4 linked regions of the Struthio camelus genome follow. The main gene of each other region encodes a partner of the protein of the gene in region 2 in a complex. Links are inferred from orthologs where the notes say so. Each region holds a gene or a part of one and is shown on either strand. Other genes may lie near its edges.

Region 1 (7,779 bases), on a different chromosome or scaffold from region 2:
GCACTGTACCATTGCAGCAAAGCTGGTGGCATTTTGGGCTGGGTTAACAAGAGCACAAGCAGCAGGGCGAGGGGAGAGATCCTATCCCTCCTGCTCAGCGCTTGAGACCATCTAGAGCGCTCATCCAGTTTGGGCTCCCCAAGACAAGGACAGTGACATACTGGAGCAAGTCCAGTGGAGCTACCAAGGTGGTTGGGGCTGAAGCACAGGATGTACAAAGACAGGCCAATAGAGACAGGTTTGTTCAGCCTGGGGGAGAAAAGGCTCGGGGCAGATGCTATTGCTGTCTACAACCAGCAGACAGGGGCAGGCTCTTCTCAGAGGTTCCCGGGGACAAGGGGCAATGAACACATGTCAGAACATGAGAAATTCCAACCAGACATAAGGAAAACAAGTTGCCAGGAAGGTGGTCAAACACTGGAAGAGGGCCCAGAGAAGAAGAGGCATCACCATCCTTCGTTCAGAACTCAACTGAACACAGCCCCAAGCATCCTGCTCTAACTGGATGGCTTTTAGTAGGTGGTTGGACTAGAGATTTCTAGAGGTCTCTTCCCACCTACATGATTTTATGGGGAGCACAGTCCAGGTTTTGACACACAAAATACTAGAGATCACATTCAGTGCAAGACTAATGCCTGTAACCTTAAATACCAAACAACAATTCCCAGGAAACAATTCCCTTTGCAAGTCACACCAGGAACTGAACTGTAAACTCCTACAGCACATTTTGCCCTTCATCTTTCTACTTCTCAGCATTTCTAACCCCACATAATGCTATACACACACACACAACCAACTTGTAGCAACCCAAGAAACAAAGCTGGGACAGCTAAGATGCACATCTTATCCCTTCACGACACCAAGTGCAACCAGCAAAAAAGTATAAATGTGACAACAAACGTGACATTTTTCAGAGTACAAAGTAAGGGTAGGCCAGAAAAGTGGAAAGAATTGAAAGTAGTTGTTGATGGAGAGTAGCCAGACAGGATGGCTTGGCCACCTTCACTATATTTTCCCCTTGTTTACTTTACCCTGCTTTTACAGAACTCCAAAAGAATGGAGTACTTTGAAAGGAGGGACCCCCCCCCACCAAAATATCTTCCCTTAGATCCTATGGTTCAAGGAACAAGGAAGTTCCACAGAACAGCTTTTATGAAGGAAAATGGCTGAACACAAATTCATGCCAGACCACCCTCAGTGTTTATATTCCATAAAATTCAATCCCAAACCCTGTTGCCTCTCCTTTCTCTTCACGTGAGTTTAAACAAAGGACAATCAGACAGGAGCGCAAGGCTCTGAACAGAAGACTAATGGGAAAGCATACAATAAAACAGCATGAATGGAAGGGAAGGCCAAGATCAGCAGGACTTGCTTCATGCAACTGCCCTAGTCTACCAGTAGTCTCAGCCTATCGTTAGGCTTGCTCTTATCCCAGCAACTCCCTGTACGTCCCCACCCTTACAACCTCACATAACCCTTGTCTAAACAGTCATCCGACCCTTCGTTCCACCCCAACCCTAACTCTGTTTCCCCATGGTCTCTGGTCTTGCTCTCATAGGTTGCTCCAGAAATCCACCCCTCCTGCCCATGCCCTCATCCCAGATCTGCCCTCTACTCCTCTCTCTCCAAGCCCCCCGACTCCCCCCCGCACAGCTCATACACAGAGCAGGCCCCTACTTTCCTCAGCCTCATAAAGCTCGGCAGGGCTCTTCTCCATCCCCAACCCTCCCAAGATGGCTCCTCACCTCTGCCCCACACCCTGTACCTTGCACAATGCCAAACACACCATGTCGTATCCGCCCCCACCTCACACAGGAACTCCAAGCCCCATTGCCCACACAAAGCCTCCCCAAACCGCCCCCACAACAGCCCTTTGCCCCACTTACTCCCACCTAAAACCCCCTCACCCTCCATAGCCCTCTTCCTTACAGCGCTCCTTGTGTGCGTCCCACACACCCACACCCCGCGGACCCGATCCCCCCCTCCCAGCACCCCAGTCCTGTCCCCTTCCCAAACCCCCAGCCTCCAACCCAAATCCACCCTCGCCCCACACATCCTCTTCCAGCAGCCCTGCGCCCACCTGCCTCCTCCTCAGCCTCTCCCCACCCCAGAGCCACCCACACCCCACAGGCACCAGCCTTCCCACCCACCTAACCTCTCCCCAGCCTGCTCCAGCCCCAAAACCCACACCCCAAACCTACCTCGCGCCCCCACCCCACCGAGAAGGTCCCTGCCTCGTGCCTCAACAGCCTCCCTCCCCATGCAACTCCTTCCAAAGCTGCCCCCCACCCCACCCCAAGACCACCACCTACCCTATCTCCAGGCTCCCCCCCACCCCACACCCCGTCCCCACGCTCCCCCCACCCCAAGACCACCACCTACCCTATCTCCAGGCTCCCCCCCACCCCACACCCCGTCCCCACGCTCCCCCCACCCCAAGACCACCACCTACCCTATCTCCAGGCTCCCCCCCACCCCACACCCCGTCCCCACGCTCCCCCCACCCCAAGACCACCACCTACCCTATCTCCAGGCTCCCCCCCACCCCAACCCACCCCACACCCCGCCCCAAGACCACCCCATACCCCACGTTGCCCTCCACCCCACACGCACCCCGCACTCCTGCCCACCCCAGCGGGCCCCACAGCCCACCCCCCGCACCCGCCCCACGGCGCCCCGCGCCCCCAGCGCGCCCCACGCCCGCCGGGCCGGGCCTGCCCCGCCGCCGCGGCCCCTGACGCGCCGCTGGCACGCGGGGAGGCGCGGCCGCGCGGGGCCGGGGCCCGGCGGGGCGCTTACCTCCGACCCGGTACATGTTGGCGGCCATGCCCGGGACGGGGCCGGGTGCGGGACGCGGGCCGCTCCCGTCGCCGCCGCCGCCGCCTCCAGGTGCCGGATCCGCTGGAAAATGGAGGCTGGAGCGGCCGGGCGGGGGAGGGGGAGCGAGGGAATTAAAGGGGCCGCGCCGGCTGCCGCCCGGCCGCCGAGGGGAGGGCGAGCGGGCGGGCGGCGGAGGGCGGGGCGGCGGCGGCGCGGGCACGGCGAGGGCCGGGGCGGCGGCGGCGGCGGCGGCGGGCGGGGGGGGAAGGAGCGGGCCCCGCCGCCCAGCCCGCACCATGTGACGGCGGCGAGCGCCGCGCCCGCCCGCCCGCCGGCGGCGGCGGCACCACCAGAGCCCGGGCCGGCCTCCTCCGGGCGGCGGGGCCTGCGGCGGGGCCTGCCCGCAGCCCCTGGCACCGGCCCCCGCGCACCGCCTGTGCCCACGCACCGCCTGGCCTCACAGCCCTCTGCTTCCTGTACTCAGGCACGCCGCCTGTCCTCACAGCCCCCTGCGCACACACCCGGCCTGTACCCTCACACTCCGCCTGTCCTCACAGCCCTCTGTGCACACACCCTGCCTGTACCCTCACACTCCGCCTGTCCTCACAGCCCTCTGTGCACACACCCTGCCTGTACCCTCACGCTCTGCCTGTCCTCACAGCCCTCTGTGCACACACCCTGCCTGTACCCTCACACTCCGCCTGTCCTCAGCACTCCGCACACACCCTGCCTGTACCCTCGCACTCCGCCTGTCCTCACAGCCCTCTGTGCACACACCCTGCCTGTGCCCTCACACTCCGCCTGTCCTCACAGCCCTCTGCACACACCCTGCCTGTACCCTCACACTCCGCCTGTCCTCACAGCCCCCTGCGCACACATCCGGCCTGTACCCTCACACTCCGCCTGTCCTCAGCACTCCGCACACACCCTGCCTGTACCCTCGCACTCCGCCTGTCCTCACAGCCCTCTGTGCACACACCCTGCCTGTGCCCTCACACTCCGCCTGTCCTCACAGCCCTCTGCGCACACATCCGGCCTGTACCCTCACACTCCGCCTGTCCTCAGCACTCCGCACACACCCTGCCTGTACCCTCACACTCCGCCTGTCCTCACAGCCCTCTGCACACACACACTGCCTGTACCCTCACGCTCCGCCTGTCCTCACAGCCCTCTGTGCACACAGCCTGCCTGTACCCTCACACTCCGCCTGTCCTCACAGCCCTCTGTGCACACACCCAGCCTGTACCCTCACACTCCGCCTGTCCTCACAGCCCTCTGTGCACACAGCCTGCCTGTACCCTCACACTCCGCCTGTCCTCACAGCCCTCTGTGCACACACACTGCCTGTACCCTCGCACCCTGCCTGTCCTCACAGCCCTCTGTGCACACAGCCTGCCTGTACCCTCACACTCCATCTGTCCTCACAGCCCTCTGTGCACACACCCTGCCTGTGCCCTCACACTCCACCTGTCCTCACAGCCCTCTGTACACACAGCCCACCTGTACCCTCACACAACTGCCTGTACAGCAGCCAGCTCTCCTGACACACACACACCCCTCCTGTACTCAAACACACCTCTCCTCACAGCCCTCCTCACACACAGCCCTCCCACACACACAGCCCTTCTCCACGTGCGCTGCCTGTGCTCACACACACAGCCCTCCTCACACCCGCACACACAGCTGCCCTGGCACAGGCAGTGTGGCCCCTCCCAGGGGGCATCACTGCACAACCCCTCCTCACACACACCACGTCCCCCCACCTGTACCCCTGTTCTTGACACCCCATGCAGCTGCACACCTTGATGCACCACGCGTTTGGGAACACCCCGTAACCGGTACCCCGACTGCCTGGCTGGGGGCGCCCCGCGTCCCACACCTCTCGCGGTGGCACCTCGGCCTGCTGCTGGGGAAATTATTCATCAGCCAAAAAATACGTGTAATAAAACTCTCCGCAGCCGCGGAAGAAGCAGTTAGCCAAAGCCGCACGTTTCACCAGGGCTGAGCAGGGCCAACCACCCGCGCTCTCAACCCCGGTTGTCGTGACATCCTCAAGGAGTCCCATAAGACTGCCCAAAGTTGTCACACCTGCCAAAATACGTGTATTTAAGAGAGAATGATTTGTTGGCTTAAATTCTTTTTTATATGTTAAAAAAAAAACCCCAGTGACCGCAGTAGGGCCATTCGGATTTGTTCTGCTTTCATATTTCCCACACAGGCAAGGAGCGCTGCTGAGCGAGGAGAGCGTTTCTGGGGCTGAAACCGGTCAGCTAAGGGTTAGTCCAGCACGCCGGGGGCCGCCCGTGCCCGCGCCGTGTTCCTGCCTTTCCCGAGCTCCCCAGCAGAGCCGAGCATGAGCGACTTGGCCTCTGGGGACACTACGGTACCCGCGGGACACGTCTGCCCGCACGCCAGGCGCGAGGCCTGGTCCTCCCCAGGCTGTTTCTGCAACCACTCTGCAGAGCGGAAAATAATTCAGTAGGACACAGAAAAATTATCCAGAATAAATATTTACAAATCGCATCATGGGGCACTTGGTAGTTGCACACGAAGAAGTGGCCGCTCACGTGGTGTTGACTGCTCTTTCCAGACACTAAATTGTTTTTTAAACGATAGCAACAAAAACATGTCAGAACTTCCCTGCTGTTACTCTTCCACGTTGAGCAATAGCTGTGGTCGCCACTGGGATGTTATGCAATTGGAAAGGAGGGGACGTGGCTCCAGCAGCCACAGCCTGGAAAGGCATTGGGTTTTGCAACGCCCTGTCTCCCGCCACCAAAATCCCAGTCCGGTACGTGCCACCAGCGCTCCTCCTGTAGCAAGCTTGGTCCTTCGAGAAGGTTTTCTGTCTGTTGTGACAGGGAAGCTCTTGCACTGGATCCCTGTCGGCCCAGCCCGGAGAGGGCACAGCCACCAAGAAAAGCCGAGACCTGCAGAAGATGCCAGCCTGTCCAAGATGGCCCCACAGAAATCAGCTCTCCCCAGCACGCGTGGGCATGAGGAGAACTTTCTAGGTGCATTGGTCTAGACCAATGGACTAGGCGGTCCCCTGATGCACCCTCATCCCAAACCAACCTCTCTGCCCCTGCTCTGCTCGCCACCCCTCTCTGCTGCTACCCCCCTGCTGCTCCCTGCCCCAGGACAGCTCTCCAGGGCACGGTAGCAGCTGGAATTTTCCTGCTGAGCTTTCTGTCCCCCGTCCCCCCCCGAGCACCTCAGTGACAAGGGACAGGGACTGAAAGGTCAGCCCTTTGGAAGAGAGGGCAACGAGGCCAACGTCGAGGCAGGTGGGCCACCACGCACCTGGCTCTGCGCTGCTGCTTGCGTGGCACACCGACATTTTTGTGGGATCCCTTTGGACTTCCATAGGTTTAGGTGGCCAAAATCCATCCTGCTCCTTCAAATGTGTTTGTCCGGGTTGGTTGGACTCACGACGCTCTCCTGTCCCTGGAAGGGAAAGCTCGTTGTCCCCCACTGCATCGAAGTCTGGCACAGCTGAGCAGCGCTACATTACAGCCGTCCATGGCTACCCTAGCGTGACTTTCCCGCTTGGAAAGCTTCAGCTTGCCTTCCTGGCCACATGCTGCGTCTTCCTTAAACCACTTCCACAGCGGCCTTGGGAAACATTTGCATTTCAGCCACGCTGCAGGTTTGCCTAGGATAGAGGTCTGCTTTCCCCCACCTCCAGAGGGGGAGTTTTCCTTCTGCGGTTGGGAGGGCGGCTGTGCCCCCAGAGCGGTGCCGGTACCCCTTGCTGTAGCGCGCAGAGCTATAGCTCCTTCACCAGGATGCACAATCGGAAACTGGACACAGCTCCAGCTGCACTGGCAAAGCTGAATCACCGCCGCCTCCCCCCTTCCTTACCCGCCACCCTACAACCAGCCACGCTGGCACTAACACAGGCTATTTCTAGAAACGCATTGCCTGCTGCCGTCACAACCCTCTCCTGCCCCGAACCGCCGGGACACAGGCTGTCCCAACTGGGTGTAAGCAGGGAGGATTGACGGGGAAGAGAGAAAACTCAAGTGGAGAGGGAAAGGGAAATATCTGCCAGTTCAAGCTCAGAGGCAGTGGCTGGGACGTGCCAACGCCTTGCAGGCCGCCGTGCAGCGAGCTGCGGGAGCCGGGCACGACGAGGTGGGCCCAGCCTGCCAGAGAGAGGTCAGGCTGAGCCTCCTCCGCGTGGCTGGGCCCTTGCTGCAGGTTTACAGCTGAACCTGTGCAAAAAATACATAGCCAAAATACAGCCTGGACCACTTGCCTCTCCCCCAGCTGCCCTACGGTGCTCCCCCTCTCTGGCCAGCGCTCGGGCCCTCCTGATGGCTTGCGTTGCTGCCTGTGTACCGGCGAGTCCCAGATTTGTCCTTTCCCTGGCTATGTACCTGCCTGGGGCCACCCCATCCCTGCTCGGTGCCGTTTGGGCAAACGACCACTGGGACGCTGCTGGGAGACTCTTGTGTCCCCTCCCCCAGCAAAGGAAGGGATGCAGGATGGCTGCAAGCCACAGAGGCAAATTTGGCTAGCCAGCCAGCCAGTACGGAGAAGCTGAGGCATCCATCAAGAGCTGCCTCGGGAGCAGCCTGGCCCCTGCCAGAACCCTCCCTGAAGCCCCCTGCTCCATCGCCAGCCGCCCTGGCTGGCCTCCTCCCTCGCCTGGCAGAGGGCGCAGCAGCAGGCACCCGAGGCAGGGCCTTGGGGGCTGCAGCCATGGGCCCCTTTCCCCAAAACAGCTGCTTTTGGCTCCCCTCTTTGCACCTTTCTGCCCCAAGCTGGCTGCTCGACTCTCCTTCTTCCCTCCCCAGCAGGGCCTGGGCATGCTCTGCCCCGCACGCCCCGACGCACTGGGCCCCCTCCAAGGAGCAGGCCCCGGGGGCCCCGGCCTCTCCTCTCCCCCACCCAGCTGCAGGCTACCGCAGCCTCAGTCTGGAGACAACCCCGAAAACGCGTCTCAGAGCCCCC
Region 2 (7,669 bases):
AGCCTAAACTTGAAAGGAGTTAGCTCTGCAGCAAGGACACAGCTTGCTTCAGGAGCGGAGCTGCCACACTGCCTTTCCAAATTCTCCTGCACCAGAAGCCCTGCAGTGCAGAGAAGCAGCATTATCTCCCAGAGGAAAATCCCTGTGAGATCCACAGCTGGCCAGAGCCCTTCTGTCAGCTGAGACCAAAATATTCAGCATTCACACAGAGAGGCTTCTGCAGGGCTGATCTCAGGCCAAAAAGGACAGATTTCCTGTTTTCCTCTCCTCTGCAGGACGGGGGGGTGGGGGTGGGGTTCCTTCACCCCAGGTTTGGAAGCAAACCTCGGATTTTTCCTCTTGGCCAGTGGCATTTAATTTAGACACAATAGAGAAGCAACCTCCTTCAACTCAGAATTAAGCTCCAGCGAGGAGGGGGCCATTTGCAGTCATATCACTCTGAATGCGATATGTGCAACTGCAAGGACTGCTTTGTCTAACTCCCTTGGCCTTAGGCCACGGTGCTGGCAATACCACTAGCTAGAGGAAGAGCTGGTGCGTGAGGATAATGGCAGAAGACAGGGAGGGAAGAGAGAGCCCATTTTGGATTCTGAGGAGGACGGTTTTTCATTGAAAAGATCCTAGGGGTGTTGAGGGTGATCTAAACTCAGGAGAGAGCACAAGTTAGACAGTCCCAGCATGACAGCAAACTGCTGCTGTCTTGCCATTAAGGGGAAGAAAAACAAAATGTTAAAAAAATAATAATAATAATAATAAAGGAAAGATGAAAACTGCATGAAAGAATCTAAAACCCCGATCGCAGCCGGAGCATTAGAAAGCACAGAGACACGGCAGCAGGAGGACCGGAGGCAGAAGTTCACCCCTCGGCTGCTTTGTGAGCGGCATTCGACCGGGATCCTGCAGTCTTCCCGCTCGGCGTGGCCACACTTGGACCCCCCCCAGTACCACCTAATCCCCACCCCGCCACGCACCACTACAAAATACTACCTTTGTTTCCCCTGCAATTTTACAGCTGTTCCAGAAAGCAAGGCACAGGTTCTCATGGGAGAAACATTTCCCCTGCGGTGCTTCATGCATTGGGGCTTTTTTTTTTTTTGGGGGGGGGGGTGACACTTCTGCTTTTTTGTCACAAATCCTAGCACATCTCCTGCTTCCTGGCCCCCCTGGGAAGCGGCACTTAGGCTCAGGGAGCTCCCTGCACACGCCAAGTTTCCCCACGCGCAGCCCCACCAGGCTCAGCTCCCCGCAGGATCGAAGCTGCCCTGCACGTAGGAGTTGGAGGTGCAGGGACCTCAGCTCCATCACCGGCTGGTGCCAATTCCTTACAGTAAAATGCAATCGCCGCTCTCCCGGTAGTGAGAATAGAGGTGCATCTCCTTAATCCCCTTCGTCTATCCATATCCCAGGAACACAACCGCAAACAGTGCTGTAAAATCCCCGAGGCAAATTTCCCTCTCCCTCCTGAACCAAACAGCAAAACTTTCCCTTCTCAAAACATCAGTCGTATTTCTGCCTGCAGAGCGGCCGGTGCCAGCCCTGCAGGCTGGAGCTGTGGGAAAGGGAGACGGGAATATGGTTTCTTTTTTCTTGTCTTTCTTTTTAAGTCAGAACCAACTTCTCCATTTTGGTTCTGTTTCAATACTAGCCGGGGTGCACTGATTAGTGAGTTCCCCTCCAAATACCCCAGAGCGGAGCAATCGCCGCTGTGGCTTTGTTTGGACTTCACCAATGTATACGCGCGATGTATATGCACCCCGACACCCAGACCCACTCTCACAGCCAACACCTCACCCTGAGCACAACCCCTCACTGCCTGTTACCGCTGGAAATGAAATAAATCAAGGGGGGGGGGGGGTAAAAGCAAAACAAAACAAAAAAAGTTAATCCCATCAAGGAAAACTTTTTTAGAGAGGAAAGTTGGGACTTCTCTACAGATCCAATGAGGAAGAAAAAAAATAATAAGAGGGGTTTGGGAAGAAATAAAGAGCGATTCCTGCCTCCCCCTCTCCCCCAAAAAAAGAAAGAAAAGGCTCCAGGCGAGCGGGGCGGGTCGGAGAGACGGCGCGGGGGCACGGCGAGGGGGGCCGGGGCCGGGGCGCCCCTGGGCCGGCGGCCGCCGCTGCCCCTGAGGAGAGCGGGGCCGGCGGGGCGCGGGAGGCGCGGCGCGGAGCGGCGCGAGCGGCACTTGCGGCGTCCCGCCAGCAGCGGTCCTCGCTGAGGCGCCGGCGGAATATTCCTGATCCAGATCAATCAGCCGCCCCGGGGAGCCGAGCATGGAGGAAAGCCGGCGGCCGGAGCCCCGGAGCGGCGGCGGTAGCGGCGGCGGTGCGGAGCCGGCCCGGCGGGCGCGGCGCCCCCGCGGAGGGGCGGCGCGGCCAGGCGAGGCGAGGCGAGGCGGGCTGGCGGCGGCGGCGGCGGCGCCGCCGGGCGGGCGGGCGGGCGCTGGTAATGGCGGCGCGGAGCCGGCGCGGAGCCGCTGCCCCGCCATAGCGGGCTGGACAAAAAACTCGAGCGCGGGGCCGGCCCCGGCTGCCGGCGCGGCGCGGCGCGGCACGGCGGAGCCCCGCCGCACGCCTCCCAAACTTGCCGCCCAGTTGCCGCCGCGGACTTACCCGGGGTGAGGGGAGTCCCGGGGAGGTGGGCGTTCAAGTTGGGTTTGTAAGACATTCCCAGCGACATGGCCAGCGGCAGGAGGAGAAAAACGTCCTGAAATCCAGCGAAGCGTCTCGGCGTCTCCCAGACACTTTGGGTTGTTTACAGCAGTAGCAGCACCGGCAAATATGGCCGTCAGTTATATTGACACCCACAATGCAATATATCATCCATACATCATGAGGAGACGCGGATCCAAAAACTTTAGGGGAGACGAGGCAGCCGGCGGCGGCGCGGCGCCCCGCGCCCCTCGGCGCGGCGGCGGGGGCGCGGAGGCGGCGGCGGGAGCGGCGGCGGCGGGGGGTGCCGCGGCGGCGGGGGGTGCCGCGACCATCCCCTCACAGACAATGGCGCGAGCTCCCCTCAGGGACGGCGCGGCGCGAGGGGCCGCGCGGGCGCCGAGGCGGGAACGGAGGCGGCGGCGCGGGGCGGGCGGTGAGGTGGTGGCGGGGCGAGGGGGGGTGGGGGGAGATGGGTGTCGGTTGAGGCGGGGGGAGAGGTTAATTCACTTCGCAAAGTTTTGGCTCAACTTCTCGTGGAAATGGGATCGCCCGGCGGCGGCGGGCGCCCCTGTCCGCGGCGAAGAGGCTCCGCGCCGCCGAGGCGCCCCTTCCTCCCCCCCCCCCCCAAAAAAAACCCGTAATTACCTATTCACCTCCGATTTATTCCCCTCGCCGCCAATTTGGATGGGAAATACCTGTTGATTGTACCCTCCCCCCCCGCTCCCTCAGATCTTCAGTGGAAATTTTCTGGTGCCGCGAAGGAAAAAAAACAATTTTTTTTTTTTAATTATTATTAGTAAAACTACTCTTTCGGCTCGCTGGAAGGCTGAAGGTTTAATAGCAGATTGCAGCCATGGAGGGATTTAACAAATAAATGCAAATCTAGTCCATGACTGACCCGTTTTCTGCTTGCGAACAGCAGTGGGATGTACCCCCTCTCTTCACCCCCCCCCAAATAAACAAATTATTTCTCGGTTTTATCCGCCTCTCCGAAGTTTATCCTTTCGGGGTGGGACGCTCGGGTGCGCTCATCCCCTACGCGAATCCAAATGCGCCTCTGCAATTGCCGCGTTTCTCCGGATTTACGCCGGCGTAGCCGCTCCGGGCCGGCAGCGCGGCCCGAGCCCCCCCAGCCCGCCCGCGCTTCGCCAGGAAATCCCGCTGGAATCGGGGCAGTTTGGGGTACTTCAGTCACAGGCGTTGCTGTTATACGCCCGTGCCGTGCGGTATCGCCGTTAGCTGGCGCCTGCGACCCCGAGCGCAGGCGGCTCCATCCTGCTCCCTGGAAGCGGCCGCGCTAATTCAGGCCTGCAGCATCCGCCGCGTTGGGCTGCTTTGTGAAGGGACGCGGGCGGCGTTTCTGCGGCAGAGACCGGCCGGGGGGGAGGCGAGTCGCGGAGCGGCTGGGTGATTCCCTCCGCCGAGCCGAGACGCAGCGGGAAGAGCGAGCCGGCTTTCGAGCCTCCGACCCTAACACCTGCACACCGCATCAAAGAAGTGTCTAGAAACCATGCCCCGTACCGGGTAAAACACGCGACCGCGTTACGGTTTTGCACGTTATCTCCGTTCCCAGCGCTCGTGGTGAAGCCCGGACGGCGTACACCGCCCTTGGCGCAACCGAGCGGCGCTGCAGCCTGCCGGCGCGGACGCCCCGGCGCCTCCGGCGTGGAGTCACCTGCTCCATAACGGTATTTTCACACCAGTGCACGAAGCTTTACCGGCGTAATTCTCGTGAGCGTCCTGAAAGATCGCACTGCTAAACCCTGGCGCTCTGCAAATACCGAACCGTGCCCCCCGCTAACTTTTGGGTGGGACGTGTAACTGGCTGCCTTTGTGCGGCCGCCGGCCGGCCGGCGCAGTCCTGCAGGCGCGGGGGCACGCCGCGCTGGGATTTTCCATTGCTCCGCCGTTGTTTACAGTAACACCGAGACAGTGCGAAATGGGAGGGTTCAGAGCTGGCCGTGTTTTTCACGGCTTTGCACCAACCCTACAAAACTGCACTCAGAGCAGCGCTGCGGAGAACAAGATCCCCTGTGTTTCGCTTCGGTTTTATAATGACGGCTTAAAAACACGCAGTATTCCTTCAGTGGTATCTCGAGGTGGGCGGCTTAAGGGACCGATCCTGTAAGGCCATCCCTTCTTCTGCACGAGCTGCTGCAGACGCTTCCCGCTCCGGAGCAAACTGACTTAGCACGCGGCAGGGAAGTTTGCAGGGCCAAATTATTTGTGCTGAAAGCGGGAACTCCGCAATACCCAGATTTTTACGTCAGCGGCAATGCATGACACCAGACCCGGGTAAAACCTGGCTTTTTGGCGTCTGAAGCAAGCTCCAGCGGGCTTGACTAGCTGCGTCTCACTGTCTTTGCAGAAGTTGCCTCGGGCAGGAGGTACCTGCGAGCTGTCCCTCTCCGTCGGGCGCTCCGTGCATCCGCTTCGGTTGTTTCGACCCGGCTGTGGCCACAGCGGTAAAACCCCCGGGGCGCTTGGGCCCGGGGCTGACGGTTTAGCAAGGCGACCGTGGCCCGGAGCTGCCTCGGAGGGGCTGCCCGGCGCGTGCTGCCCCGAGCGCCCAAGCCCTGCGGCGGGGCGAAACCGCGGTCCGGCAGCGCTGCTGCTCCGCGCTGCCGCCTGACGGCACAACCCCATCTACTGATGGTCATAGCAGCCCGCGGTCACGAGCGACCCCGGCGTCCTGCGGCAGAGCCATTTTACCACAGCTGTCCCGTTTCCAAGCCTCCTCTCCAGTGAGAAGCAACTTGGAAATAAATGCGTGCGCGTTACGGTTTTCAGCGAGGGAGGAAAGGCAGCGAGAGGAGCCTGTCTCTCTCCGGCATCCACAGGTGCCTCCGGGCACGGCCACAAAACCTCCTGTATTTTGCAGGTGCTGCTGCCTCTCCGGCGTGTCGGACCTGCAGCCTCCCCCCTTTCCCCCCTTGTTTTTCTTTGCATTCCCCACGTTCCCGCTGCTGGTTTCACTTTCTCACCTCTGATGCCCCAAAACGCTTGGAGACCTGCACTCGGGGAGTGCAAACTCGTCGTCTTCCTTCTCGTCTGGGATTAAATTAACGATGAAAAGCATGAAAGACGGGACAGCAAGACACCGGCTTCCCCTGGCATGGCTTTGACCTGTGCAAAACGTTACGTTTGTGTGTTAATTTCAATGTAATTAACTGTTGACAAGTTTAATAAATGAAGTGACTTGTGGCTGTCCTGGCCGTCCTCCGCCTGTCGCAGAGACACGTGCAGCAGCGAGAGGAGGGAGACCGGCAGTACGTCCCTTTCGCGGGAAGGAGTTTACGTTTAAATCAGTTTGTATTAAAATATTTATTCCCAAGTTTCCCGGGAGGCAGAATCATAAACACAGTAGAGGTACCTGCAAGTTTCTGGGTATCAACTCAATCCGCAAGTCCCTGAGCCGCCCTCTCGTGCCAAAACTGAAACGATCGTCCAAAACGAAGCCAGGAGGCTCTGACCCTCGCGGGCTGAAAAAGCAGCTCCTAAAGGCTTGAGCAGGGGGCAGGTTTGGCCTCTGTCAAGACACAGACGGTAGCTCCGCGCCTGCTCCCCGCAGCCCGGCGAGGCTGCGGAGCTCATCCGGTCGCTGGGGCTTCCCGCGGCGCTGCCGTTCTCCTTCCAGAGGGAAAGCTGGCAGCCCCGGTGTCCCGCTGCTGCTCCATCCGCTTTCCGGGTGACGCTTGCTGCTTACTGCCCCAGAACGCGCCAGAAACCCCCAACCGCCAGCAGACACGCTGCGTCCTCATGGCTCCCTGGCGCCTTTTCTCCCCAGCCCTCCAAATACGCCGGGAAGGCCTGGATCGCTCCCTGCAGCGGGAAGGAGCCCCGGGGAGCACCCCCGGCAGCAACCCCGCAGCAGCCGCCCTGCGCCGGGGCTGGGGGAAACCTCTCCTCGCAGCCGGCCCGCTCGAGGAGCGTTGCTGCAGTTCAGCGTATAACTTCTTTCGGGTGTAACAACTCCTGGCTGCTCCAGGCAGGCTTTCCCCTTAACCTCTTCCAGATAAATTTTGCCTAGCCCGGTCCCACTCCCCAATTTCGCTGGGTTCCTCCCAGGCCAGATGCTGTGTTATTATGGGGAGCGCCTTTCACCCCCCCCCTCCAGCCTTGTTTTCTTCCTCCTCCTCCTCCTCCTCCTCCAGAGCCTGTTGTGCTCCTGCCAGGGAAGGGCCCCGCCGGGCCGGCGGCTGCTCGGCGTCGCCGCGCCGGTGCTGCCCGCTGGCTCCTTCCCGGCTCCGTCCGCCTTGGCGCGGGACGTGCTGCCTCGGCGGTGGCCTGTACGGGAAGGGGAAGAAAAAACCCAGCATCTTTAAAGGTGAGTGAGGAGACTGGGACCGGTCAAGGCAGAGAGCTGAACGCCGCCCTCGCTTCAGCCCTGCGGCAGCGGCAGCCGCTCTCGCCTGCCCCGGCGGGAGGTCTCGCTGGAGGACCGCAGGCGGCAAGCGGGAAGTTTCCAAGCCCTCGGCCACCAAAGCCCAGGTCTGGAAACTCCCTCCGGAGAGTTTTTCCTCTTTGCGCTTTGCCAAACGAGCACCGGGATCAAAACCAGCCAGATGCCAACGAAAACCAGCCCGGACAGGTAGCGGCCTCGTTCTGCGTGTTGAGAAGAGGCGGATAAAGCTACTGAGCCTCCTCCCAGGCCTCCCCGAACCCTCGCTCCCGAGGCGCCCATCCCTTCGGTTTTCCGGGCAGGCCTCTCCCCGCTCGCCGCCGGGGCTGGGCTCCCGTCGTCCTCCCGCTGCCGCGTCCCGCCCGGCGGTGCCAAGGAGGGCGGCCCAGCCCCAGCGCGGGCGCCCGGGGCGGGTGATGCGCCGGGAGCCGGCGGTTCTCCGAGGAGGCTCGCAGCCGCGCTTTCATCCCGGCCCCGCGTGGGCGAGCTCCTCAACCTGTTCGGTGGCCGAGAGCGGAGCGATCGCAGCCGAGCCCGGGGCCGGCGTGCCTGCCGTGTGCTCGCCGCCGGGGCGCTGCCGCCAGCCAGCCGGCTGCCCTTGCCGGGCTGCGGC
Region 3 (7,140 bases), on a different chromosome or scaffold from region 2:
TTTACCATACCCATTTCCAGGGTGAGCTTCCTCACCCTTGACCAAGCTGGCTGGAAAGATGGGTTCAGATTAAGGCTGCCTAAGTGGAATGAAGGCTAAGCGCCGCTTTGATGTGTTGCACAGTGGAAATTTCCACACCGTTTGTTTCTTTTTTTGGGCAACGCATTTGACAAATTAAAAATCTCCACCATTTCAGAAACAAAAACGTAAAGCTAAAACAGGATCTTTCTGCTGTAATAGTTATTTGAAACAAAGAGCAAACAGCACACAAGAAATTGTGGATGCTACTTCTGCAGAATTAAAATCCTAAGCCACCCAGGTAGGATCAAGTGACAAGTATCTTTAGAAAAGGATTTGCAGGCACATCTTCCCAGTTTCCCCATATCACGTGAGAAGATCTCAGGGAGATAAAGAGAAAACAAGAGAGTTTTCAGCTCTTCCCATATAAGTTAAAGTGTCTTGATCCACACCTGACAGCCAGTTTCAGACAGTGCTATTCCAAGGTCAGAGACAACATCTTTTGGAGACAACATCTATCTCCTCAGACTGGCTGCATAGCTCATGCCTGAGAGCGCCTGCTTGTAACAGGGCATTAACATCCTCACACTTACATTATAGACTCTTCTCTCCACGCATGAGCCACTATCCTGTACGTACTGTGAGGAAAACAAAGCACAGAAGCGACAACAACAGAGCATCAGAATTGGGCAAGAGCTGCTCAAGCCCTGGCTCTCAACGTTCTGCCAGGGTCAGGGGAGTACCCAGACATCCAGAGAACGAGCTACGATGAGGTGTCTCACATCCACCTGTTGCATCCTTATAAACGCCTAGCCTTTTTCAGCCACAGACCTCTGCGCAATGCTTGCAAACAGCTACTATGGCTCTCCTGAGCAGTCTGCCCCTATGTCAAGCCTAACGGGAAACCCTCAGCCTCATTTTAGAGCATGCAGCATTACCTCTTTCTTCCTCCTCTTGATTTTGGAAGCCTTGCTGTCTTTCAGCTTCTTGGATTTCTTTTTTTTCTGCACAGCGACTTGTTCTTCTGGGTAAAACTCATCCAGTCCTTCCAGGACCCCATCATCTTCTTCTGAGGAGGAAAGGCACAACTTACTCAGATGGATTTCACACACACGCAGGCCAGAGCAAAAGGCAGTCTGTTCTTCTCCCCAGTGACCAGCCTCACAGAACCCCTCACGGTCTGGCTCGTGCTTTGAAGCCACGAGCCCACGCTTCTGAGGTGGGGGAACTTCCCTCTGCTGAGACAGGGGCATCAAGACGCCCTAATGTGCTGCCTGCTATTATTGATTTTGGTTGGTAGGTAATTAGGAAGCATTAGGCTTTTTATCTTTTAGATTTCCAAACAGAGCCCATTAAAACTGATTCAATTAAAGGCAAATGAGAGAGAGGTAGGCAGCCTCTCCGCCAGTGACCTCCTCCCTCCGTATACCATATGCAGAGCGAAGATGAAGCCTCGCATGGAAGAAGGGGCAACGCTGCGGTTCACTGGAGGTCTGCCGTGGCTCCATGCTCAGGGATCATGCACACTCAGCAGCTGGTGGCTCCCGCTGCTGGACTGCCGGGGACCCAGCTGCATGCCGCAGAGCGCAGCTAGTTCAGGGACCTGGCCCTGCACCTCATCTCTCTGCCGCTCCCTGCCAGCGCAGAGAAGCCAGGCTCACACTTTTCTTTTCCCGTCATCATCATCTCCCCAAATGCAATACCATGACTAATGAGTCCTGGTATTTCGCCAAATCATTGCATTTCCTTAAAATCTAGCTCAGTATTTGATTTTTTCATTTACTTTCAAAATCTCTAAACTTATATGGTAATAACAGTCCAGTCTCATAAGACCAGACAGACTTCTTTTTCATCCTCAAACGACAGCAGCGTAGGCTCCGCCAAGACAAGCACCTAAGCTCCATCTCAGCGGAGCGCGTTAGGAACGGAGGGAGCCCCGCAGCGCTAGGAGCACACCTTCGCCACCTCTCACGGGACCAGTCTCATCTGCCCTAAGCAGCACCAGAACAGAGTTCTCAGCCTATAGGTCACATGCAGAAGGATCTTTGAAAAGCTGCATTTTACCCACAACTGTCCTCAGAAAGACAAGAAAAATTGTCTTTTGGGGGAAAAGGGAGGGCCTTAAACCCCATGAAGAAGGATGCAGTGGCAATTCAGAGAAAGAATTTGCAAGCTTCCCACCTCTGACTTTGACTATTGAGACAATTTGTCAAAGCCAAAGGAAATGGCTCAAGCGAGTTCAAGTGCTCCTACCTGCTCCTCTCGCTAAAACACCCCCTTGCTGGAGGCCTCTTCATGGAACAGCAACGTAAACACAGGAGCAAGTTAAAGGTACTACAAATGCACTAATTAGGCACAACAGAAGTAGAGCCCAACAGAAACCAAGCGGAGCCAAGGAGGAGAAAAAGCTCTCTGCAGCGCAGACTTTGTACTTCCCTTTGGGTTTGCTTTATTTCCCTTAACCTAAAGAAACGATGGCATCCACTGGAAGGGCGTCTGGTAATCTGTGGGCAAAAATACGCCACTCGGCCAAACATTCAGTACCTCTGCCCGAAGAGCGATTACCACAGTCCATTTGCTGACAGTTAACCCTCCACGTAGAAACCGTCGGCAGCTGAAGCGAGAAACGGGGAGGAGAGGCAGCGACCGCGACGGCTTTCGCAGGCGCGCTATCCTCCGACGGCCGCAGACCGAGGGAAGCCGCCCACGCTCCCACCCCCCGGCCCCGAGCAGCCGCCGGCGCCCGGGCCGACGGCCTGAGCCTCCCGCAGAGGGGGCCGCGCCGGGGGCCCTCCACCCCCCGAGCCCCGGGGGGGACGGGCCCGCCTGCCCGCCCGCGCCGCCCCCCCCCCCCCCGTACCCGAGACGTCCTCCTCGTTGTCCAGGTCGCCCGGGAGCTCGTCGCCGGCCGCCGGCCCCCGCATGCCGGGCGGCGGGGAGCGCCGGCCCGGGCCCGCCGGGCTGCGGCAGCTCGGCACCAAGATGGCGCCCGCCCCGCCCCCCGCGCGCGCCCGCCCGCCCGCGGTGGGGGGGGGGTGTCGCGCGCGGCCGTGCGGCGCGGCGCGGTGTCGCGCGCGGCCGTGCGGCGCGGTGTCGCGCGCGGCCGTGCGGCGCGGCGCGGCGTCGCCAAAGACGGCCCGGTTAACAATTCCTCCCACATTTTATTCAGCGAAACGTATTGTACAAAATATGTCGAGGTCGGCGCGAGCGTCTAATCCTCCTCCTCCTCCTCCTCCTCGTCCTGGTTGATCTGGAAGTACCGCAGCTCGTAGCTCTCCTTGCTGTTGGCCACCACGCGCAGCCAGTCGCGCAGGTTGTTCTTCTTCAGGTACTTCTTGGTGAGGTACTTGAGGTACCTGCAAGAGGAGAGGGGCGCTCAGCCGCGCGGAGCTCGCCGCCCGCGCCCCGCCGCCCAGCCCCGCGGCCTCTCCCCGCTCCCGGCCCGGGAAGGGGCCGGCGATCCGGGTGGCACGAGCGCGCCTCGCTCGCCGAAGCGCAAAGGAAGCGCGTGGGTTCAAAGTGCTTCCACGTTTTCGTCTAGCAGCGCTTCATAAGCCCTTTCTGAAGACGCTCCTCTTCAGCTCCAGCTCGCACGGGAAGGGCACACAAGCCGAATCCCACGTGCACCGAGAACAATTCCCAACATCGGACACCACAGGCTAAACCGCGCAGGCCCCACCCAGGACAACTTCCTCCAACAGCGGAGCGACGCATCCCAGAGCGGCGTCGGCCAGGAGACGCTGGTGCTCGGGAACAGCACTGTCAGCTACACGTTGCCCCTTGCCGGAGGTACCACCAGCACCCGAGACCCAAGGCTAGGGAGCTGCGTTCCCTCTTCACCCTCCGAGGCCAAGCTTGCTACTATGCAAACAGAGCGAGGCACCAACTGCGTTTCCACAGCACCAAATAAGCCCCAGGTCAACGCGGCGCTAACACCGCCAGGATAGTATAGTAGCTGGCCATCTTTCACCTCCTTGCGCGCTTTCCACAGCACTGCCCGGAGCGTGCCAGATCCCACACCGATGCAAAGAGAACCGCTCGGGCCAAAGCGCTTACGCTTCCCAAGCGTGGCAATCGGAGGCTGCGGGATTGCAAGCAAGCAAACCCAGCTGGTGCCAATGTGTGCCGTTTACACTTTCCATCATTTTACATCTCCAGCTGCCATGCTTGCAGTCGCCACTGCTGAAAAGTAATCTGGAGAAAGTGTATATCAATATATTTATGCAATCTATGTAAGACAGCAAGTTACAGACTTTCAAGTGTAGTTTGCAATCCCAGAACTGAGGCGGGGGGATAATTTGAGAGTGCTCAAACCTCTTGCCCACAGAAGGTGGGCCAAATTCTGTTGAATGTTTGGCCAAAACATTTAGGTTTTGGTATAGTTCACAAGTATTCAGAGTTCTCTTAACCTAACCTTTCTTTTTAGAAAGATTGCAGACAGCTGACTGGGAAAACAGGAACATGCAGAACAAACTTATCTTTCCCTACTTTAGTAGGGCCGATATTAGCAACTGATTCCCAACACACAGCGGTCGTTACTCGATTATGATTCAAACCTAAAACCTCAAACTTTGGCACGTGAAGACTAAACTACTAGCGGGTACATAAGTCCCAGCAACAACAAAAGCTGAAGAAAAGCATCAGTTCATTAAGAAATGGCAGACGCACATCTCTTAATTCCTTAAAAACTCCAAGACACATATCCTCTGACATGAGCCGGAACAGAAGTCCGCATCTAAGAGTGCCAAGCAGCTGCAGTGGAGGATAATGCTGCGAACACAGTCAAGTCACTGAACCCAGCAGACCAGGTTAAACAGAATAACTACTGAATGCCAAAATGGTCAGGCTGCTTTTTAAGCATGATTTTTAAGGGAAATATATTGCAAGCTAGAGTCAGGATTTTTTTTTTTTTTTAAACTAAAAACATGACGTGGCTTTGCCAATTCATTTTGGCTGCATGATTTATGTAGCAATGCCCAATAGACTTTTTTATTCATAATACTGATCGAAGACATCATTGTAAAACCCACCTTTAGCCTCACTTAATACACATAAATCAAAACCAAAAAATGCTTGATTTGATAAAAAACAGATAACCTGCATTTACTCTCCAGAGGAGCTAGCTGTGATTTAGATTTGGAGATGTAAACAATTTTACAGGAAAGTAATCTACAGCATAAAACTGAATTCATCAAAGCCAAATCAAGGGCAGAGATATTAGGCAAACATAAGAACTGGGCAAATGGCAGAAGTCCAGCAGGATAAAGGTAACACTACAGTAGTGGAAGAGTTTGGCTGTTTATCAGTCTCTAAAATTCCACATTTGGCATCTTTGCAGGAGGGGTAGATCCTCCACTGCTTTTCAACTCAGCTTGCCTTCCAAGAAAGATTTTCAACCACGTACCCTTCTTAAAGATCACTTAGAAACAAATAGTCACCATGTCCCATTTCTCAAGCAGTATACTTTGAAGTCAGCAGGACTTGGTACAACTTATGTGCCAAGACATCTTTTCATTAGCTCCAGTGTTTCCCCATGCATTAGGATTTTACGGAAGAGCTTCCTGTCTTGTGGCCCTGGGAACTAGTATTGAAAGATGCTGTCTTAGAAGCTTATTCTTACCAAGCACCACAACTTGGAGAAAATGAACTACCTTCTAGCAACGCGTGTCATCAAAAAGCAGGCGGGGGAGCACTCGTGTAGCTAGCTTCACCGGCTATCATAAACAGCGGCCCAGAAGTCTTTGTATCCAAAGAAAAGACCAGATAAACAGCAGACATCCCAGCGCACCTTTCACAACACCCTCCTAACAGCCAGAGCCAAGTCTGACATCAAGGGCACCGTTTTAACACCACAGATCCGTTGCTGAGACTGCAAGAACAGGGCTACCTGATGTCAGCAGCCACTACTGCCATGAGGGGCAACATCCTGAGCAGCTGCCTGCAACTTCACACAAACACTGAAGCATGCCACGTGACGGTGATTCACCCCGCTGCTAGCGGAGGACTGCAGCAGCGCTCCAGAGAAACAGGCTGCGCTGCCAGCCTGCCCTGTCCGAATCGCCTGCGGGTGCCCCGTGTCCTTACCTCTTTGAAAACGGAACCTCTGAAGTAACAGTGATCTTGCTCTTGCTCCTCTCGATGGTCACCACACCCCCACCCAAGTTACCAGCTTTGCCATTAACCTTGATTCTTTCCTGCAAGAACTGCTCCTGCAAGGGAAGAGTGCGACTGGTTAGCCAGGGCTGACAGCTCCAAAGGACCGAGGGGTTTTGCAGCTCGTTTGCACTGACCATTTTGACTTTTCGGTTAGAAGTAGGAAAGAGAGATAGTCACACAGCAATGACAAGCAGAGGAAAGCAGGTAGGTAGGTTTTGATCCCACAAATACGTTGCATGACTACTCCTGCTGGCTCAAACTGGCCCATTCAGACCTGCACATAAGTGACTTTCCCAACTGTGAAAGAACTAAGTTGTTTTCTTATGTCACTAATATTTTCTGCTTTTTGAGATGACAGTCAAAATACAGGTTATTTTGTGATTCTCAGAAAAGTGTTACCCCGAACCTTTTGTTTCAAACCTATTCTCCTTGTATACAAACACAGCTTCATAAGATATCTGTCAGAGAGAATTATGGAACTTATTGCTGTCCTCACATGCTGTTTCTTAAAGCTTAAAAGAAAACTAGCTGTCTAAGTTATAAATACTAGATATTGTTCAGCAGGTAAAGAAAATTAACTAACTACAAATTGTTTACAAAATAATAATACTCTTATTTACATAACTATGCCGTTTGCTAAACAGCCTATTTAGATGTTGCAATGAGATATGAATAGTACTTGGAACAGCTGTCTCTTAAAGAAAATGCACGTGTGGAATAAGAGACAAGTTTACTTTCCAAGCAACATTTCTGCTTGTCAACTTAAATCTATCAATCCAAGGACAGGCTTTCCTTTTACACAAAGGAATAAAGTTCAGATCAGACACAGAGGCACTTTCTAACCAGAGTTAGGATCTATCTCAGTTCCTTCTCCCCTCCTCCCCGTAACACGCATGCGCAGGTAAGTTCTTGTAACCTTGAGTTGAGGGCTGCAGCAAAAGGGTAGCCTTTTTTTCTTTTGATCAT
Region 4 (6,906 bases), on a different chromosome or scaffold from region 2:
GGGGCTCGGGGTGGGGTGGGGGGGACGCTCCGCCGGCGCCTCCCTCCGCCCCCCCGGCCCGCAGGGGACGTGGCCGGCGGCTGCAAGCTGCTGCGCAACCGCTTCGAGAGCCGCGACCGCGAGTGGGCCACCTACACCTGCGTGCTGGGCTTCCACGTCTTCGGTAGGGCCCCCGCGCGTGCACGCGTGTGCGTGTGCCCCCCCCCCGCCCCCCCGGCCCCCCGGCCGCGCTCACGGCGCCCCGCGCAGGCGTCTGGCCCGACGGCTCCGACGGCACCGACATCAACTCGCTGTGCCGCTCGCACGACGAGCGCGTGGTGGCCGTGGCCGACGACTTCTGCAAGGTTCATCTCTTCCAGTACCCCTGCGCCCGGCCCAAGGTCAGCCCGGGGCGCCCGTGGGCCGGGCACACGCGTGTGCGGGCGGTGGGGGGCATGCACACGCGTGTGCGGGTGGGGGGGTGCACGCACATGTGTGTGCGGGGAGGGAGGTGCATGCACACGCGTGTGCAGGGAGGGGGGGTGCATACACATGTGTGCGGGGAGGGAGGGTGCACGCACACGCGTGTGCAGGGAGGGAGGTGCATGCACACGCGTGTGCGGGGAGGGGGGTGCACGCACACGCGTGTGCGGGGAGGGAGGTGCATGCACACGCGTGTGCGGGGAGGGGGGTGCACGCACATGTGTGCGGGCAGGGAGGGTGCACGCACACGTGTGTGCAGGCAGGGGAGTGCACGCACACGCGTGTGTGGGGAGGGGGGTGCATGCACACGTGTGTGTGCAGAGGGGGGGTGCACGCACACACGTGTGCGGGGAGGGGGGTGCACGCAGACGTGTGCGGGGAGGGAAGTGCATGCACACGCGTGTGCGGGGAGGGGGGTGCATGCACACGTGTGGGGGCAGGGAGGGTGCACGCACATGTGTGCGGGCAGGGAGGGTGCACGCACACGCGTGTGTGGGGAGGGGGGTGCACGCACACACGTGTGCAGGGGGAGGGTGCATGCACACGTGTGTGTGCAGAGGGGGGTGCATGCACACGCGTGTGCGGGGAGGGGGGTGCACGCACACGCGTGTGCAGGGTGGGGGTGCACGCACACGCGTGTGCGGGGGGGGTGCATGCACACGTGTGCGGGGAGGGGGGTGCACACACACGCGTGTGGGCGGTGCATGCACGCGCACGGGCACAGGTTTGCGGGGGGGAGGCGGCGGGAGCACGTTTGCAAAGGGAGCGCGCGCACACGCGTGTGCAAAGGGAGGGCATGGTTGTGCGCACGGGGAGAGTGTGTGTGTGTGCATGTGTGCAGGCATGTGTGCACAGGGAGGACACGCGTGCGTGTGCGCACGGGGAGAGCGTGTGTGCACAGAGAGGACACGCGTGTGCATGTGCACAAAGAGAGCACGCATGCACGAGAAAGATGTGTGCGTGTGTGCGCGTGGGGAGGACACGTGTGCGCGTCTGCACGAGGAGACCATGCATGCGTGTGCAGAAAGGACGTGTGCGTGTGCACGAGGAGACCATGCATGCGTGTGTGCGCAGAAAGGACACACGTGTGCATGTGCATGGGCAGAGCCTGCATGCGTGTGTGTGTGTGTGTGTGTGTGCATGTGTGTGTGCAGGAAGGACACGCGTGTGCACGTGCACGACCAGAGCATGCACGTGTGCGTGTGTGTAGGAGGGACACGCGTGTGCACAAGCAGAGCATGCATGCACGTGTGTGTGTGTGTGCAGGAAGGACACGTGCACGCGCGTGTGTGTGTATTAAGGACATGTGTGTGCGTGTGCACGAGGAGAGCCTGCATGCACGTGTGTGCATATGCAGGAAGGACATGCGTGTGCGTGTGCATGAGCAGAGCATGCACGTGTGCGTGTGCAGGAAGGACACGTGTGTGCCTGTGTGTGCAGGAAGGACACACATGCGCGTGTGTGTGTGTGTGCAGGAAGGACAGGTGTGTGCGTGTGCAGGGGCACAGCACGCACGTGTGCGTGTGTGCAGCAAGGACACACGTGTGTGTGCGTGCGTGCAGGAAGGACACGCGTGTGCGCGTGCGTACAGGAAGGACGCGCGTGGGCGTGTGCACGAGCACAGCATGCACGTGTGCGTGTGTGCAGCAAGGACACACGTGTGCGTGTGTGTGCAGTAAGGACGCGCGTGTGTGTGTGTGTGCAGGAAGGACACACGTGTGCATGTGTGTGTGCAGCAAGGACACACACATGCGTGTGTGCGTGCAGGAAGGACACGCGTGGGCGTGTGCATGCAGGAAGGACACGTGTGTGTGTGCGTGCAGGAAGGACACGTGTGTGTGTGTGCACAAGCACAGCATGCACGTGTGCGTGTGTGCAGCAAGGACACGTGTGTGTGTGTGTGTGTGTGTGTGTGTGTGTGTGTGCAGTAAGGACACGCGTGTGCGTGCATGAAGGACGCGCGTGGGCGTGCAGGAAAGACGCGCGTGGGCGCGTGCGTGCAGGAAGGACACGCGTGTGCGTGCAGGAAGGACGCGCGTGGGCGTGTGCACGAGCACAGCATGCACGTGTGTGTGTGTGCAGGAAGGACACGCGTGTGCGTGCAGGAAGGACACGCGTGGGCGTGTGCACGAGCACATCATGCACGTGTGCGTGTGTGCAGCAAGGACACGCGTGTGCGCGTGCGTGCAGGAAGGACGCGCGTGGGCGTGCAGGAAGGACGCGCGTGGGCGCGTGCAGGCGCAGAGCGGGCGGCGCGTGCCGGCCGCGGGGCGAGCAGGCTCGTGCGCATGCGCGCGGGCGGGCGGGCGGGCGGGGGGGGGCGGAGGCAGGGAGGGCGGCGCGCGGGCGTGGCCTCGCCGCCCCGCCCCCCGGCCCATCCGCCGGTGCCGACGGCCGTGCGCGCAGGCGCCGAGTCACGTGTACGGCGGGCACGGGAGCCACGTGACCAACGTGCGGTTCAGCCACGACGACGCGCACCTGGTGTCGCTGGGCGGCAAAGACACCAGCGTCTTCCAGTGGCGGGTGCTGGGCGGGCCGCGCCGCCGCTCCCTGCCCGGCCCCGCCGACGGCCCCGAGCCCGCCTAGCGCCCGCCCCAATAAAAACCCGGCGGCACCGCCACCCTCCGGCTCCTCCCTCCTTCGCCGCCGCCGTTCCCGAGCCGCTTCCGCAGCGGCCCCAGGGGACTCCCGAAAGAGCCGGGGGGGGGGTCGGGAAAGAGCCGAGGGGGGGTCGGGAATAGCCGAGGGGGGGTCGGGAAAGAGCCGGGGGGGCTCCGGAAAGAGCCGAAGGGGCTCCGGAAAGAGCCGAGCGGGGCCCGGAAAGAGCCGAGGGGCCCCGGAAAGAGCCGAGGGGCCCCGGAAAGAGCCGAGGGGGCTCCGGAAAGAGCCGAGGGGGCTCCGGAAAGAGCCGAGGGGGCCCCGGGAAGAGCCGAGCGGGGCCCGGAAAGAGCCGAGGGGGCTCCGGAAAGAGCCGAGGGGGCTCCGGAAAGAGCCGAGGGGCCCCGGAAAGAGCCGAGGGGGCTCCGGAAAGAGCCGAGCGGGGCCCGGAAAGAGCCGAGCGGGGCCCGGAAAGAGCCGAAGGGGCCCGGAAAGAGCCGAAGGGGGCTCCGGGAAGAGCCGAGGGGGCCCGGGAAGAGCCGAGGGGGCCCGGAAAGAGCCGAGGGGGCTCCGGAAAGAGCCAAGGGGGCTCCGGAAAGAGCCGAGCGGGGCCCGGAAAGAGCCGAGGGGGCCCCGGAAAGAGCCGAGCGTCTCCGGAAAGAGCCGAGCGCGGCCCGGAGAGAGCCGAGGGGGCCCGGAAAGAGCCGAGCGGGGCCCGGAAAGAGCCGAGGGGGCCCCGGAAAGAGCCGAGCGTCTCCGGAAAGAGCCGAGCGCGGCCCGGAGAGAGCCGAGGCGGCTGCGGAAGGGCCCGAGGCCGCGCCGAGCCCGCGGCCGCGCCGAGCCCCCTCCCGAGCTGCCCGAGCGGGTCGCGCCGGTGCGGAGGCGACGGGAGGCGGCGGCGGCGGGAGGCGGCGGGAGGCGATGAAGCGCGGCCCGGGTCGGGCCCGGGGGTAGCGCGGCCGAGCGAGCGGCCATGGCGGCCAACATGTACCGCGTCGGCGGTGAGCGAGGGGCCGGCGGCGGCGGGAGGGCGGGGAGGGATCGGGGGGGGGTCTGTGAGGGGGACGAAGGGGGATCTGGGGGGGTCTGTGAGGGCGGGGGGGGATCGGGGGGTGTCTGTGAGGGGGGGAAGGGGGATCTGGGGGGGTCTGTGAGGGGGGAAGGGGGATCTGGGGGGGTCTGTGAGGGGGAGAAGGGGGATCCGGGGGGGTCTGTGAGGGGGGGGGTCTGTGAGGGGGGAAGGGGGATCGGGGGGGTCTGTGAGGGGGACGAAGGGGGATCCGGGGGGGGTCTGTGAGGGCGGGGGGGGATCGGGGGGGGTCTGTGAGGGGGACGAAGGGGGATCTGGGGGGGTCTGTGAGGGGGAGAAGGGGGATCCGGGGGGTCTGTGAGGGGGAGAAGGGGGATCCGGGGGGGTCTGTGGGGGGGGGGTGTCTGTGAGGGGGGAAGGGGGATCTGGGGGGGTCTGTGAAGGGGAGAAGGGGGATCTGGGGGGGTCTGTGGGGGGAGGGTCTGTGAGGGGGAGAAGGGGGATCCGGGGGGGTCTGTGGGGGGGGTCTGTGAGGGGGGAAAGGGGGATCCAGGGGGGGGATTTGTGAGGGGGGATCTGTGAGGGGGGGAAGGGGGATTGGGGGGGGTCTGTGAGGGGGACGAAGGGGGATCCGAGGGGGGTCTGTGAGGGGGAGAAGGGGGAGCCGGGGGGGTCTGTGGGGGGGGGGTCTGTGAGGGGGGAAGGGGGATCCGGGGGGTCTGTGAGGGGGAGAAGGGGGATCCGGGGGGGTCTGTGAGGGGGGGGGTCTGTGAGGGGGGAAGGGGGATCGGGGGGGTCTGTGAGGGGGACGAAGGGGGATCCGGGGGGGGTCTGTGAGGGGGAGAAGGGGGATCCGGGGGGGTCTGTGGGGGGGGGGTCTGTGAGGGGGGAAGGGGGATCCGGGGGGTCTGTGAGGGGGACGAAGGGGGATCCGGGGGGGGTCTGTGGGGGGGGTCTGTGAGAGGGGAAAGGGGGATCCAGGGGGGGGATTTGTGAGGGGGGATCTGTGAGGGGGGGAAGGGGGATCGGGGGGGTCTGTGAGGGGGACGAAGGGGGATCCGGGGGGGGTCTGTGGGGGGGGATTTGTGAGGGGGGGAAGGGGGATCGGGGGGGAATCCGGAGGGGAGAAGAAGGAATCCGGGGGGGGGGATCCGTGAGGGGAGGAAGGGGGATCCCCCCATTTTGGGGATCCGTTGTAGGGGGGAAAGGGGGGATCCCCCCATTTTGGGGCCCCCTTAACTGTTAGAGGAGGGAAGGGGGATCCGTTGTGGGGGGGGAGGGGGAATCTGAGGGGGGAGGAAGGGGGATCCTTGGGGGGGGGATCCCCCCATTTTGGGGCGCCCTTAGCTGTTAGAGGAGCACAACCGCGACATAAAGGAGAGGGGCTGGCGGGGGGGGCCGCGAAGGGGGCAGAGGAGCCCCCTCCCCATCAATGTGTGTGTGTGTGGGGGGGTCCGTTCCCCCCCCCCAACAGCCGGACGGAGCCCCCCGCGCGCAGCAGGGGCGTTGGCGGGGGGCGCGAGCCCCCCCCACCCCCGGGTTTCGGAGGCATCCTGCGGGGCGGGGGCTGCGCTGGGACACCCCCCCCGCCCCAGCGAGCCCCCCCGCCCCAGCGAGCCCCCCGCCCTGAGCCTCTTCTCCCCGCAGACTACGTCTATTTTGAGAACTCCTCCAGCAACCCCTACCTGGTGCGGCGCATCGAGGAGCTCAACAAGGTGAGGGGCCGCCCGGCTTCCCCCCCGCCCTGGGGGGTGAAATGAAGTGTGGGGGGGGGGGGTCCCGCCTGCCTCCCGCTCAGCGCCCCCTCCCCGCAGACCGCCAATGGCAACGTGGAGGCCAAGGTGGTTTGTCTCTTCCGCCGGCGGGACATTTCCAGCAGCCTGAACAGCCTGGCCGACAGCAACGCGCGTGAGTGCGGGGCGCCGGGGGTCCCCCCCTCCAACCCAAGCGGGGGCAGCCCCTTCCCCGACGGCGGTGGGGTTGTGGGGGGGGGGCGGAAGGTGTTTTTTTGGGTGGTGGTGGGGGGGGGAAGGCGTCTTTGGGGGCTGACGCCGGCGCTGCGCCCAGGCGAGTTCGAGGAGGAGTCCAAGCAGCCGGCCATGACGGAGCAGCAGCGGCACCAGCTCAAGCACCGCGAGCTCTTCCTCTCCCGGCAGTTCGAGTCGCTGCCGGCCACTCACATCCGGTGCGTGCGGCGGCGGGGGGGGGGGACAAGGAGGGAGGGGACAACAGCGGGGGGGGACAGCGGGGCGCCCCCCCCCTCCCCGGCGGCGGGGCCGTGAGCCCGGCCTGTGCGCCCGCAGGGGGAAGTGCAGCGTGACGCTCCTCAACGAGACCGACATCCTGGGCCAGTACTTGGAGAAGGAGGTGAGGCCTTGCCGTTTTGGGGTGGGGGTGGGGGGCCCAGCCCACTGCGTGCCCCCCTCACCTTCCTCCCTCCCTCTTCTTCCTCTTCCCAGGACTGTTTCTTCTACTCGCTGGTGTTCGACCCCGTCCAGAAAACCCTCCTGGCCGACCAGGGCGAGATCCGGGTCGGCTGCAAGTACCAAGCGGAGATCCCCGACCGGCTGGCGGAGGGTGAGGCGGCGGCGGGGGGCCGGGAGGGGTGGAGGAAGGCGGTGGGGGGGGGGTCTGCGCTCCCCCACCCACCCCGTCCCCGTCCCCCAGGCGAATCGGACAACCGGAACCAGCAGAAGATGGAGATGAAAGTGTGGGACCCCGACAACCCGCTGACCGACCGGCAGATCGACCAGTTCCTGGTGGTGGCGCGGTGAGCCGGCGGGTGACAGTGGTGGCGGGCGACGGCGGCGGTGGCG

Evidence for each region.
Region 1: CDK2AP1 (region 2) and MTA1 share a complex: the UniProt entries of both Homo sapiens proteins name them as parts of the nucleosome remodeling and deacetylase (NuRD) repressor complex. The link is inferred for Struthio camelus from reciprocal best matches to the Homo sapiens genes CDK2AP1 and MTA1.
Region 3: CDK2AP1 (region 2) and CHD5 share a complex: the UniProt entries of both Homo sapiens proteins name them as parts of the nucleosome remodeling and deacetylase (NuRD) repressor complex. The link is inferred for Struthio camelus from reciprocal best matches to the Homo sapiens genes CDK2AP1 and CHD5.
Region 4: CDK2AP1 (region 2) and MTA2 share a complex: the UniProt entries of both Homo sapiens proteins name them as parts of the nucleosome remodeling and deacetylase (NuRD) repressor complex. The link is inferred for Struthio camelus from reciprocal best matches to the Homo sapiens genes CDK2AP1 and MTA2.

Annotation. Positions count from the first base shown.
Region 1 is NC_090949.1:9,500,665-9,508,443, reverse strand, and holds the start of MTA1 (metastasis-associated protein MTA1), read right to left. Parts: upstream 3,008-7,779; 5' UTR 2,828-3,007; coding exon 2,800-2,827; intron 1-2,799. UniProt on the Homo sapiens protein: Transcriptional coregulator which can act as both a transcriptional corepressor and coactivator. Acts as a component of the histone deacetylase NuRD complex which participates in the remodeling of chromatin.
Region 2 is NC_090958.1:16,837,058-16,844,726, reverse strand, and holds the start of CDK2AP1 (cyclin-dependent kinase 2-associated protein 1), read right to left. Parts: upstream 3,007-7,669; 5' UTR 2,680-3,006; coding exon 2,613-2,679; intron 1-2,612. UniProt on the Homo sapiens protein: Inhibitor of cyclin-dependent kinase CDK2. Also acts as a component of the histone deacetylase NuRD complex which participates in the remodeling of chromatin.
Region 3 is NC_090962.1:908,625-915,764, reverse strand, and holds the start of CHD5 (chromodomain-helicase-DNA-binding protein 5), read right to left. Parts: upstream 3,008-7,140; 5' UTR 2,943-3,007; coding exon 2,879-2,942; intron 1,088-2,878; coding exon 957-1,087; intron 1-956. Other genes in the region: RPL22 (large ribosomal subunit protein eL22), read right to left, coding at 3,230-3,374, 6,103-6,227. UniProt on the Homo sapiens protein: ATP-dependent chromatin-remodeling factor that binds DNA through histones and regulates gene transcription. May specifically recognize and bind trimethylated 'Lys-27' (H3K27me3) and non-methylated 'Lys-4' of histone H3.
Region 4 is NC_090976.1:523,872-530,777, forward strand, and holds the start of MTA2 (metastasis-associated protein MTA2), read left to right. Parts: upstream 1-3,902; 5' UTR 3,903-4,033; coding exon 4,034-4,061; intron 4,062-5,737; coding exon 5,738-5,805; intron 5,806-5,904; coding exon 5,905-5,998; intron 5,999-6,157; coding exon 6,158-6,275; intron 6,276-6,393; coding exon 6,394-6,457; intron 6,458-6,549; coding exon 6,550-6,667; intron 6,668-6,757; coding exon 6,758-6,860; intron 6,861-6,906. Other genes in the region: EML3 (echinoderm microtubule-associated protein-like 3), read left to right, coding at 65-163, 250-380, 2,869-3,048. UniProt on the Homo sapiens protein: May function as a transcriptional coregulator. Acts as a component of the histone deacetylase NuRD complex which participates in the remodeling of chromatin.